Sus scrofa: one gene and its partner. The protein of the gene in region 2 purifies or fractionates together with the protein of the main gene of each other region. This does not show direct contact. Links are inferred from orthologs where the notes say so. Each region holds a gene or a part of one and is shown on either strand. Other genes may lie near its edges. The genes, in order: LCP2 and FYB.

Region 1 (6,948 bases), about 29 Mb from region 2:
TTAATTTAGATTTTCGGATTGGAGTTGTAGAATCAACAGGAATGATCATTCTAGGGTCTGGGTTGCTTTTCTAAAGGGTCCCCTCAATTAACAATTGAATCAGGTGCCTGTTTTCCTTCATCCTCAACAGCATAAGCATTTGCATGTGAAATATCTCTAAATGATTTGACGTCTCAGGCTAGAGTATTTAAGATTAAATGCTTGTCTTGAGAATCCTAGCTTCTCTTCACAAGGATGGGGCTTGCAGTTTGTATGGCCGCCTTATTTCAGAGCAAACTTAAAATCTTGGCCTTTTCTTACAGCCAGCACATCTAAAGCGTGAATGCAGTTGCTCTAACCTCAAGGCCTGCTAGGGTAGGATGGTTATGAGAAAGCTCAGGAGAAGCTGATTTAGGGGTCATGTAGAAAACAAGCAGCCTCTGTGGAACGCCAAGCACCCCTTTTATCTACATACTGTGGGGTAAAATGGTTCTTAGAATATTCAGCTGCTTTTTTTTTTTTTTTTTTTTTCTTTTTTCTTTTTTGGCCACCCAGCAGCATATGGAGTCCCCGGGCCAGGGATCAGATCCGAGCCGCAGTTGCGACCTAAGCCATAGCTGCAACTACACCAGATCCTTAACCCACCGCCCTGGGCCAGGGACTGAACCTATGTCCCAGCACTCGCAAGATGCTGCCAATCCTGTTGCGCCACAGCAGGAACTCCTCAGTTGCCTTTAATTCATTGTTTTCTCATCATTATCAGTTGACTCTCTGATTTTGCAGAATGCTGGCTTGGACTCTAGATAGACACACAGCCCTGCAGACTGGGGCCTGCCTGGGAGTTTGATTCTGAGCCAGTAATATCTAGGCCTGGGGGCAGCAGTATTTCTATCATATGCTTAGATGATTCTTTTGAGTGCTCAGCTTTGGTTGGCACTGGTCTGGGGGAGGTCCCTAGTGTTGTAGCTAGGCCCGGAGAAGGGAAGGGACTGGCCTAAGGTCACACAGTGAGCTGGGGACAAAACCAGGATTAGAACTCACAGCTCTCTGGAAGTTCCGATTGTGACTCAGCGGTAGCAAACCTGACAGGTATCCATGAGGATGTGGGTTTGATCCCCAGCCTCGCTCAGTGGGTTACGGATCTGGTGTTGCTATGAGCTGTGGTGTAGGTCACAGACTCGGCTAGGATCCTGCATTGCTGTGGCTGTGGTGTAGGCTGGCAGCTATAGCTCCTTTTCAACCCCTAGTCTGGGAACATCCATATGCTACAGGTGTGGCCCTAAAAAGAAAAAAGAAAAAAAGCCCCTCATAGCTCTAAGCCAAAGTCTCCTCCACTGCATGGCCCAGGATGTCTTCCTGCCGTGCCAAAAGAAGTCCAAGAGTTAAAGAGACATAAAACATGACCTCAGTCCTCAGAGGCCTGCGTTCCAGACAGAGGATGAGCTGCACGTAGCTGAGATGGTGAGACACAAAGGCCCAGTGATCTGCATGATGTCCCCAGCGAGGGTCCAGTGAGCAGAGCAGGAGAAAGGGAAGATCAAACACGAATGGGCCCCCCTCTGCTAAAGGCCTCACACATGCATTGCCTTTGATTCTCCCAGTGATCCTGTGAGGTTAGTCACCGTTAGGATCTCTCTTTTACTGATGAGAAAGCCAAGGCACAGAGAGGTGAAGTAACCAAGGGAAGGTCACCGAGCCAGCAGGTGGCAAAGCCAAGATTCAAACCAAGGTGTGTCTGGCTCCAGAGCTGGCTAGGGAGGTACTTCCAAGGGGGCAGGCCCCCAGTGCTTCATTAGAAGTCATAGCTGCCAATAGGACTTTTGCTGGCTAAGGTCTTTCCCCAGATGACTCCATGGTCAGTTCACGTGGCATTTGCTCTCTGGGGGAACTGAGGTGCTGAGGGTTTGAAGAGTGTCTCTCTGCGTCTGTGGGGATGCTGGGACCTCCTGGCTCCCAGGTGTCCCTCGGTCTCCTCATTCCTGCCCTCAGACCTTTCCTGCTGGGAGAGGGAACCTGTCCAGGTGCTGTGGACTCTACCCAGAGTCTGAGGTCTCCACAAAGAAAACTCTTCCTTCCCCCAACTCAGGCAGAGAGCCTTCACCCTGAATCATTCTGACATGTAGTCTATCTCCCTGTACTAAGGGGAACTTTACCCATGAATTCTTCAATTGCTGTACAGGGTTATGTAATTCCTATCACATTGGAGATGGGGCCTGTCTCTGCTTCTCAATCCATCCCCAAGTATGCCTCAGTAATTCCTAATTCTTTTCTCCTTTCTTTATTGAGGCAATATGCCACTTTAGAGCACCTTAGTAAATTTCACATGTGGCTCTAATGTATTTGGTCTACATTTAAGGAAAGTATTTAAAAACACCCTTCGAAAGTCGGTTATCTCAATGATCTTTGTACCCGCAGTGCTGAAACCTAAGTTTTTATGATCTTTTGGAGGTAAAAATAACAGAAATGACATGCACAAAGAAAACCCAGCAAGTAACAGGATCTGTGGGCTGTGCCTCTATCATGCCACACCCGCTTCAACATTTTCACATTTTTCTTAGGCAAGAACAGCAGTAACAGGAAATACCCTGGTACCATATAGACCCCAAGCTGGGCTATGTGTCCCAGGGAGCCAAGGCCACCCCCAAGGAAAACAGAACATCGACTTAATAACCTCTAAGTTCTGCACTTAAAAGTCTTATCTTTGTTATAATTCAGAGTATCAACCGAATTTGATGTCACCCTCCAGAGATGGGGTGTTAGAAACTCAAATGTCCCTCATAAGACATCGTATACCTTGGACAAGGACAGAGGGTACCTAACTGAGTCAGGTGGCTTGGGATCTGCCCACGCAGATGTGCCACTGCAGCCCCACCAGCAGATGACCAAGCACAGGGATCTTTGAGCATCTTCAAGGCTGGAAGGCAGGACAAAAACACCCTGGTCTCCGCCACAACCTTGGCCTCTGACCCCCACCCCAGCAAATCTTTTTCTCTTTAGGGACCCCAGTTTCCCTAGCTATAACCTAGGGCTCATGTCAGTCTCCTGGGCTGCCTCAAAAGACCCTCATACAGCTCCAGTGAGACTCTGTCCAGGTAAGGGCCTGAAAAGTTCTCTTTCAAGGTCACGAGCAATGACTTGCCCAGACACCCTCTCCAGCATCGTTCATCATAGCCTCTGACCTCGTCTTTCTTCTCTTGTCCCCCAAGACTCCTTGTCTCCACTTTCTAGCAAGTAGCCTCACTAGCAGGTACCACAGTTCTGAGTCTCAGAGCAGGGACTTTGAAACCAGACAGGTGTGACTGGAATCCGGCCTCTGTCATATGTAGTCCCTGGGGCTTTGGGCTGGTTAGCCTCCCTGAGCTTATTTTGCAGCTGAGCAGGGAGGACGGCGATCCTGTAGGGAGCTGAGTGGGACCGGGCCTAAAGAGCACAAACTCCAGCCCTGGCACCTAGGAGGTCCGTGTCCCTTTGAGACCTCTCTTCTCCCCAGAAGGCACTGCCAGCAGCACTCAGCAGCAAATGTCTATCTATGGTGCTGGCTTGGCTGGCGAGATGGCACCGGGCTGGATGTTCCGCTGCTATCTGTCACGCCTCTCAGGTTCTGCCCAGGCTCCATCCTCAAGTACCTCCCCAGCCCCGCCACTCACAAAAGAGTAAGGCTCACCTTCTTGAAATAGTCTGCGAGGCTGTCGGCGTCCCAGGCCAGAACCTCGGAGCGAAAGGGCACGTTCCTGAATGCCATGGCTGCTCACGAGCTGCGTGTGGCTGTTGCGCCCATGGACAGAGAACCCCAAATCCAGAGCACAGAGGCGTCCTTGGCTCTTCCAACTCCCAGGTACTCTCTGGAAAAGCCTCGTTGGAGCAGACGTCCTTTCTGCTGTAGCCCGATCCCAGAAAGCAACAGCTTCCTCTGCGAACAAATATGGTCTCTTCTCAGAAAACGACTCAGCAAGTTTCCTTTACCACTTCCTCTGCCGGGCTCTAAATAAGTAAACAAGGAAGCCCAACTCTGGGGGCTTGAGAGTCAGAGAGAACTACAGGGCTGGTAATTCCCCACTGGCCTGTCCACGCAGCCCAGGGAGGGGTGATCAAGGGGAGTTCGAAGTTTCCATTAAAATCCCTGCACTCGTATGTCTGAACTACATTCCTGCTCATCTGGGTCTTTGCAGATGAAATCTAACTTGACGGTTGACCTAAAATGTAGACAATCTCCCCCATCAGTGAAGGGGAAGGAACGTGACCTTTTAATGCCTCCACCCCCCACTGGGTTTCTCAGAAGGATCAAGTTGAGCTTCTTTGGGTTGCCTCCTTATAGATACTATGAGAGCATCCTCTGTGAGCGGGTTGATGACTGGGGCATCCAGGGCTGAGAAGGGGCTCCCCTGGGCAGACCCCGCTTAATTTCTGATGTGACTGTTTCCCTGCTGTGCAACCTCAGGCAAGGACCTAAACTCTAGGAAGCTCAGTTTCCGTACCTGTAAACTGGGATCGCGGAAGAATTGCTGCTTTGTGTGCGTGTAAAACTGAGATGCATTTAACTAGACAAACTTAAGGGGGGAAAGTTAAAGGAAGAAGTAACAGTCGCTGTTGATGCTGTCACATTTTATAGTCACCATGTTCCCACCATATATTGTATTTATTATTAATTTCTCCATATATTTTATGTAAAGAGCACATCCCTGGAGACAGGCAATGGGACTCACCTATTTTCTCAGTCCGTCTCAGACTCTGTACGCTTCTTGTATTGGAGACTCTCCTTCACTGAGGGTGAGTCCAGTGTCTAAAAGCAAACATACGTGTGCACCATCACAGCCTCCAAACACAAGTTCGCCGCTCTATCTAGTGCTCCGTGCACACACACACAGAGATGGCCATCTATCCAGTGGCTTGAAAAATGAACCACGCTCTGTTACACTTACTGAGTGATGTTAAGTTGCCCCCGAGGTGGCGCCTTCCCGAAGCTTTCTCAAGGCGAGCTTTGGCCATGCACAGTTCCCATCTTATGTATAATCTAAGCAGCCCCGTCCTCACTGCAGTGCACCTGCCTGGCCAGGTGGTTGTGCCAATGAGGTCTGCACTGCCCAGGCTTAGGACCTTCCTGGAAGCGCTCTAGGAACCTGAGCTGATGTCATCCTCACCTCAGAGGATGCTGGGGACCTTAACTGAAGCAGCCCAGGCCAAGTGCTGCTCACAAGGCTGGAACCTAAGAGCTCTTAATAATGGGTCGTGCTCTCCAGCGCATAGCCTGCTGTTCCAAAGCTCCACCACTGGTGGGAGAGGTCACTTCATTTTTCAAATCCCCAGGAGAGCTGCCAATGATAAAAAACCATTTGAAAAGAGAGGAAGAGAGAGAAATCACATCCAAGTAGGGCAATCAAAGAAGATGTAATCGGATTAGTTGGAGTTGAAGCAGGGCCTTGGAATATGCCGAGGGAAGGCATTCTGAACCTGAGTATGCATGCGTGTGGGGGTGGGGGTGGGGGGTGTGTTGGGCTGTACTTTGTGAACAAAGCACATCACATCTGTAGAAAGGAGCATTCACGATCATCAGCCTTAGAAGGAAAAGCGATTTTGAAAGTAGTGTTCACCCACACTCCCAAGAAAAAAAAACATCTACAGGAAAGCAGAAGTTGGAATTAAGGTATAGCTAAATATTTAGGCTCTTCTGGCAGAATTATGCAATAAAAGTGCCAAGATGGACAATCCATGGAGCCTGTTTAGAAGAGAGACACAGGGGTTAAGGAGCCTGAGTGGCAGTGATGACGGTGATGAGAATTGTCACAAATCAATGTGTGGGGCCCTTCATCTGGGCCAAGGAGGGGGCTGAGGACTCTGCAGTCATTGTCTTAATTTATTGTTGGCACTATTATAATTCCTATTTTCCGGAAGAGAAAGCTGAGGCTCAGAGAAGTGGAGCTCCTTGCCCCCCTTGCTCCAGCATGTAGATTGCATGAAAGGATCTTGTCTGGAACCCTCTCTGAGCCCAGAGCCCCTGTCCCTTACATCTCTGCCACCGTGGGGCTCTGAGATGTGACATAAATTGCCCTAGGTGGAGCAGGGCTTCAAACTCAACTCTGTCTCCAGAGCCTGTGCAGTTTCCATGGAGAGCAAGTGGGGTTGTCAGTCTGGTCCCGTTCAGAAGAGGACAGAGCCCTTTCTGTGAGGCAGGCTTTGGTGTGCCCTCCCCACAGGGGAGCTGCCCAGAAAGAGCAGCTGATCCGGGACAGACGGTGGCGAAAGGGGAAGCTGGTTGCGTCGGCCAGCAGCCTCTCTGCTTCCCCAGTCCTCGGTAATTGCCCAACACTCAGGAGTTTCACATCTCCTGTCTCCGGCTAGAGCCTCCAGAAGTCCTAGGGGCAGGGCAAGCTGGTCCCCAAAAGAGGATCAGAACACCAGAGAGACCAAGAAGGCCCTGGACAGGCCAGCTCACTTGGTCCAGCCCCAGGCCCCACACCTGTAACAAGGGCCGTGATGACAGAGGTCTCAGCAAACAGCCCTCGGCCAAGGAGCTGGTGCAGCGAGGAGGGCAGGGGCCCACGCGCAGCCATCCTCCAGAGAGCATCAGTCTAGGCTGCAAGCTTGAAGCAGAGCAGAGAGTGGGGAGCAGGTAAGGCACAGGGATTGGAGCCGTGGCCTGGGGCAGGGCCGGGTGGGGGCTCCTCACCCGTCTCTTTCTTCTCCCCAGCAAGCTGGGGAACTCGGAACACATGAGGGAGCAGATGGACAGGTTAGTGGAAGCCTTGGCTGTGTCATTTCTAGCCCCAAGTTAGGAAGAGGGCAGACAGGCTGCACCCAGTAAGAGCCATGTCACGTGCATCCAGGGAGATGGGGGCTCGCGGGCTACGGATCTTAATGTGCATCCAGCGGGGTCTGTGGACAAGAAGGCAAATCTTGCAGGGAGTGACAGGTCAGATGTTTAGGTCTCAGAGACTAAGCGTGGCTGAGCAACCAGACCCGGGTGGGGTATAT
Region 2 (6,226 bases):
TATTTTACAAAATCATATTTATTTTAGGCATAGCCCTAAGATCACATCTGAATGAATACTGAAAACTGGCATTTCGGATTGACAACACCTTTGGCAACACCCGGCAAATGGCCCATTATAGTTCAAGTAGTATTGGATACGTATAACCAAAGAGCAAAACAAAAGACTATGGAATTTCAAACAACTTTTCAACCATATTGAAGTGACTGCAAACGGTAATTTAGTTTAGTGATAGAGAGCAGTAAGAATGTGGAAAGTAAAATTCTGGCACCTTAAAAATACACAATCTCTGACAAAGAGACTGTTTGATTTGCTGTACAATTTGCATTTAACATACCTGCTAACATTTTCTTGCTCTGCGACATCATCATATACTTCCTGGTCATCTTCAACAGGTCTTGATGAAAGGGCACCAAGAGAGGTTTTTTTCCGTTTCAAGGAATCATAGTCAATCTCTACCGCCGTTGTTTTAATATAGCCGTCTACCAAAAGGGGAATGACTCATGTTCAGTAACTGAAGTTTAAATATCCTAGAGTTGTTATTCACTGCACATTTGCTCTCTAAATCTTCCCTTTATTTCTTTGCTTGCAATTCTGATTTACAGACTTCCTAGGCTCGCTCACTGTACCTTGTCAAGTCTTAACACTGTTGTGGTTTGGGATAAGCCTTGAATCAGTTTTCGAGATTCCAAGGTGATTCATACGAACCATTTTTGTCTTTTAACGTCCGTGAAGCATCTAATGCTCTTTGCTCCTCCCTGGAATAATATAAATGTTTGCATTTTTTTCCCCCACTAAAAAGATTACACAGATGAGGTGAAAATGGAGCCATGCCCGTCCTTTAAAAATCTTCTCATCTTTGTCCACCCTATAACATACTTGCAACTTAATGCCTATGAAAGTAATGCCTGTTGGAAGAATTTTCACATTCATATTGGCCCAAAAAGAAAACACTTTGAAGTTTTAGGAAACTGGCACTCACAGGACCCCTTGGCTGTTCGGCCCAGCCATTTCCCTTCAGGGTTGTCTGTGATGCGGATTATTTCAATTTGCTCTCCTTGCTTGACACTCAGTTCATTTTTCCCTCCTTTGACATCACAGCAAGCTTTTGCTTGATGGATGACTTGAATAGGGCCCGTGAGCTGCAAAGAGGGGGAAAAAAAATTACAAATTCATATTTAGTGGCATGATTTCTATATCCTATTTTTTCTTACTAACAAATATTATTTGAATGAATAAGCCAAACAATGTGATTTTTCAGAAAAAAACCACAATGAAAATCTTTATATAATTCCTTCAAAACTATAAACAATCTCTTTATAATAGATATGCTATAAAATTTTTCATTTAAGAAATTAGTTTTTCATGTTTTACGCTTGAAAATTTCTAAACGCTCGTAACCATATAGACTGTATGATTAAAATGTTTTGATGTTCATACTGCAATCTTAGTTTTAATTATATATAGTAAGAAAAACTGAATGAGAACCTATAAATGATACAGCACCTTATGTGCATTATTTTATTTAATGCCATAATAAAATTTCAGGAGAGCTATCGTTTACTCACTTTAGAAATAAAAACCTGAGGTTCAGAGAAGCTTAGTAACATGAACACCATCAAATAACTCACAGGTGCATCTGGAATTTCAATGCCCATCTGTTCAACTGAGTCTAAGCTTTACATTTTCCCTGTGCCCTGCTGTTGAATCTTTATTTTATTATAAGAAATATACTGGGAAGTTGTATATAAATCACATTTCTATAATTTAAACCACATATTAAATGTTTTGGAAGAATTAAATATTCAAAGGAAACTTGATAATGTTATCCTTTTTAAAGTGAAGAATAGTTTTGTCACCCAGATAATCACTCTAAATGTAGCTGACATATCAAACCCACACCAGATGGGTCATGTTTTCAAAGACAGACTAGCCAGGCCAGTACGTTCTGCAAGTGCAGTCTTAGTGGTGGCAGTAATAGAAGTCACACAATTAGACATCAGAGAAGACAGAGGTCAGAAATCCAGGCAGATGAAGAGGGATGAGAAAGAGCAAGTATCAGAAGTCAATATGTACACAGGCTTAAAACACAGGCAAAAATGTAAGTCAGGTCTAGACATCAGCCATCAGAGTAGCTTGGAGATTCTGAGACAGGTATGGTTGATCCAGAGACACTCCTGTCCCTTGCCCCACTTTATACATGCCACAGGAATAGCTAAGTGTGTGGGTCTGAGCTCCTATTATAAGTAGGTTAACGTGAAATGCATGATGAGGAGAGTCAAGAAGGGTCTTAAGGAACCAACCAAGTATTCATTCACTCAACCGACGTAGAATTTCTTGAGCTCCAACTATATTTTATTTGGATTTTATGCAACTCATAAGCTGCCATATTTTATCTGAATTTTATTTTTTTAACTTTTAAAAAATTAATTTATTTTTTCTTGTTATGGCTGCACCCACGGCACATGGAAGTTCCCCGGCTAGGGGTTGAATCGGAGTTGCAGCTGTGGTCTATGCCACAGCCACAGCAATATCAGATCTGAGCCACATCTGTGATTTACACCACAGATTTCAGCAATGCCAGATCCTTAACTCCACTGAGTGAGGCCAGGGATTGAACCTGCATCCTCACGGACACTTTGTCAGATTCTTGACCCACTGAGCCACAGTGGGAACTCCTATTTGAATTTTCTTATATTGCATTTTTAGTGCAAGATAAGGGAGAGTATTGGACAAAAACCTTACTGTTATGAAGGTAGTTACTCTTGAAAACAATGATTAAATTTTCCAAATATGTAAGGTTTCAAAAATGGTGCCCCTTTTGTGTGAAAGTTATAAAGAAGTAACTCCTTTTAAAAAAATGTACACGTGCACAACACTGTAAACCAACTATAAGGGAAAAAATAAAAACCATTATATTAAAAAACCCATTATATTAAAAAAAAAAGAAGTTACTCCTTCTGTAAACCAGCTATAAGGGAAAAAAATAAAAGCCATTATATTAAAAAAAACCCATTATATTAAAAAAAAAGAAGTTACTCCTTTTCATTCATTAGCAAGCGAGGTCTTACTTTAAATTTCTTCTTTATTTCTTGTTCTTTCTTTTCTCTCTCTTTTTGTTCTTTTTTCTCCAGCTCTAATCTCTTCTTTTCCTCTTTTTCTCTTTTCTTCTCTTTTTCTTTGGATGCTTCTCTGAGGATAAACATTGTTAGGTTGTTTCAGCATCTGCAGGCATGGATGTGTTAGGGCTCACCCTCCAGAGAGTTCCTGCCCACCACAGAAGGCAGTGTCTGAAGTACAGGTGAAGGCACAAAGCCAAGGCTTGTCAAAATTCCTGGGTGTATGAGATGGTTCTTAAAAACGGCAGAAGGCCTATACATGAGGATACCTTCCAAAGGCTCTGCTACCCCTAAACTCATGCCAGCAAGTAGAAACCACTGTCCATAAACCCTGTTCTTTTTTTTTTTTTTTTTTTTTTTTTTTTTGCTTTTTAGGGCTGCACTTGAAGCATGTGGAAGTTCCCAGGCTAGGGGTCAAATCAGAGCTGCAGGATCTCTAACCCACTAAGCGAGGCCAGGGATTGAACACATGTCCTCATGGATACTAGTCAGCTTCGTTTCCACTGCACCACAACGGGAACTCCCATAAAGGCCCTGCTCTTGAGGCCTGTTGGCATGAATAGCATGCATCTCTCTCTCTCTCTTTCTCTCTCATGTGCACACTCACTGGTACAAGTGCACATACACATGTGTATGTGCAAACCTTAATTCCCAAACTTTTAGTCAGAATTAGTTGAATAAGAACTGGGTAGAGAAAATTAAGGTATCTGAATCAGCAAAAGATAAAATACGATGCTCATTTCTACTTTCCCTCATTTTCTGAGAAATTTAGTCTTGGGCCACCCAGAAGTCTCTTTTGGAGCTATTTTAAACATTTTTTCTGCTTTAGCAGGCCGACACTTTGGCATCTGGTGCTGTGTTGAACTGTCTCTCATGGAACAGTTGTGAGGCGAAGGGCTGCCTAGGTGAGGATTGTGTTACATGGACATGAATGCATTTGCCCAAGGACTTGCCAAGAGTGGGAAATACAGATTCCCACCCCTGGATTCCCTGCCTGTGGGCTATCTAGTGGGGTGTAGGCTCCCAACTCCTTTCACAACGGCATTTGAACAGGGTCCTCTGAAAAATCCTTAGACAAGAAAAGAATCTTTAGTCCCTTGTACTGAAATAAATGTTATCATTATAAGCCCTTTATTTGAACAATAGAGCGTCTCTCCTCTAGTGTTGAATATCTATCTGCACCCCCTCTTACAAATCATTGCATTTATCTTAGAAGGAAAATATCATGGTAAAAAAATGTAATGCATACATGTCTTCATATGTTTCTCCTTCACTCTCTTGCTCCTGTCAAGAAAAACAATGATGATTAATTGTAATTATTTAATAAGGGAACATACACATATTTCATTGCTCAAATACTCAGTAAAACAAACATAAATTTAATTGCATATAAATTTGAATGTTTAAAACATATTTTTTTCCTTTTAGAAGTAGACTGAGAAAATAAACACAAAAAGATTCCATTTTCTATCCAGCTATATAATCCAGATATATAGCCAGACCTGAGCTCATGTTCAGTGCTGCAAAATTACTATGAGTCAGTGTAATAATTGGTGTTTAATGTCTCAAGCATTTCAGATAAAATAAGATTATAAGTGAAAAAATACCATCATTAACTCCAAAGAATTTTCATTTGTTCCTTTACCAATAGAAAATGAATCACAGAGTTGCCATTGTGGCTCAGTAGTAATGAACCCTACTAGTATCCATAGGGCGCAGGTTTGATCCATGGCCTTGCTCAGAGGGTTAAGGATCTGGCGTTGCTGTGCGCTGTGGTGTAGGTTGCAGATGTAGCTTGAATCTGGTGTTGCTGTGGCTGTGGTGTAGGCTGTGGGGTATAGCTCCGATTTGATTTCTAGTCTGGGAACTTCCATATGCTGTGGGTGTGGCCCTTCAAATACAAAAAAAGAAAAAAAGATAATGAATCACAGTAATGGTTAAATATTCTATTGACAGTAATATAAGAAGGAAAGAAAAACTGACCTCATCGAGATTTCCAGTACCTAAAGTATTTAAAAAAAGAATACAATTTAATATACTCTAATTAAGAAGTGGTTTAACATGAATTATGAAATGCAATATAATATTCAAATCAGTTTATAATCTAACAGAACTTTTGCTTTACCCAAGGTATGTAAGTACAAAATAGAACATGTGGTTTAGATCCCTATTATTGCTTTTTTGAATCTTGGAATTTAATTACAAAATCATTTCATTGGCTTTCATAAAATAATGCAAAAACCAAAACATAATGAAGACACTCTTTATTTCTTTATGAAAAATACACATGTTTGATTTTGTGGGCTTGTGTAGAACAAAGGTATGACCAGAAAATCACAACTAGCTCACAGTTTTTGATTTATTTGCTCCCAAGGATTTACTTTCATGTATCAAACAAATCAAGTTAATAGGATTTTTCAAAAAGATATTTTACTGCTCAAGTGTTTAGTAACATCAACAAATTACCAAATATTAAGACATAATATAAAACAATAATAATAAACAGTGTAGTATTGATATTAAAACAAATAGACAATGGAACACAGCAGAGAGCTCAGAAACAGATACCCAAATTACACACATGCAAACAGAAACACACATTATGCACACACAAATACACCATGTGTACAAAGACATAAACACACTAATACAGCTAATACAGTAAAGGTGGCAGTATAAATTAATGAAAAAAGAGTGGATTTCAGAATATAGTGATGAGAAAACTGACTTTACATAAAGAGACAACAAATTTGGATTTCTACAAACTCCTCAAAGGTCAACTGCCAAGAGACCAAAGACCTAAATATAAGTTTCGTAGAAGAAAATAGAAGATAATATTTTTCTCTCCAAATAAAATACCTAGGAATAAACCTGACCAAGGAGGTGAAAGACTTATTTGCTGGCACTATAAAAAAATTTATCAAGGAAGGAGTTTCCGTTGTGGTGCAGTGGTTAACAAATCCAACTAGGAACCATGAGGTTGCAGGTTCGATCCCTGGCCTTGCTCAGCAGGTTAATGATCTGGCGTTGCTGTGAGCTGTGGTGTAGGTCGCAGACACGGCTCAGATCCAGCGTTGCTGTGGCTCTGGCGTAAGCTGGCAGCTACA

Evidence for each region.
Region 1: the proteins of FYB (region 2) and LCP2 purify together in Homo sapiens (co-immunoprecipitation; 6 studies listed by BioGRID and IntAct, with this or other methods). This does not show direct contact. The link is inferred for Sus scrofa from reciprocal best matches to the Homo sapiens genes FYB1 and LCP2.

Annotation. Positions count from the first base shown.
Region 1 is NC_010458.4:53,694,222-53,701,169, reverse strand, and holds the start of LCP2 (lymphocyte cytosolic protein 2), read right to left. Parts: upstream 4,197-6,948; 5' UTR 3,722-4,196; coding exon 3,644-3,721; intron 1-3,643. UniProt on the Homo sapiens protein: Adapter protein primarily involved in signaling pathways within T-cells, as well as other immune cells such as platelets, mast cells, and natural killer (NK) cells.
Region 2 is NC_010458.4:24,363,684-24,369,909, forward strand, and holds part of FYB (FYN-binding protein), read right to left. Parts: intron 5,123-6,226; coding exon 5,103-5,122; intron 4,404-5,102; coding exon 4,369-4,403; intron 3,193-4,368; coding exon 3,072-3,192; intron 1,143-3,071; coding exon 983-1,142; intron 483-982; coding exon 338-482; intron 1-337. UniProt on the Homo sapiens protein: Acts as an adapter protein of the FYN and LCP2 signaling cascades in T-cells. May play a role in linking T-cell signaling to remodeling of the actin cytoskeleton. Modulates the expression of IL2. Involved in platelet activation.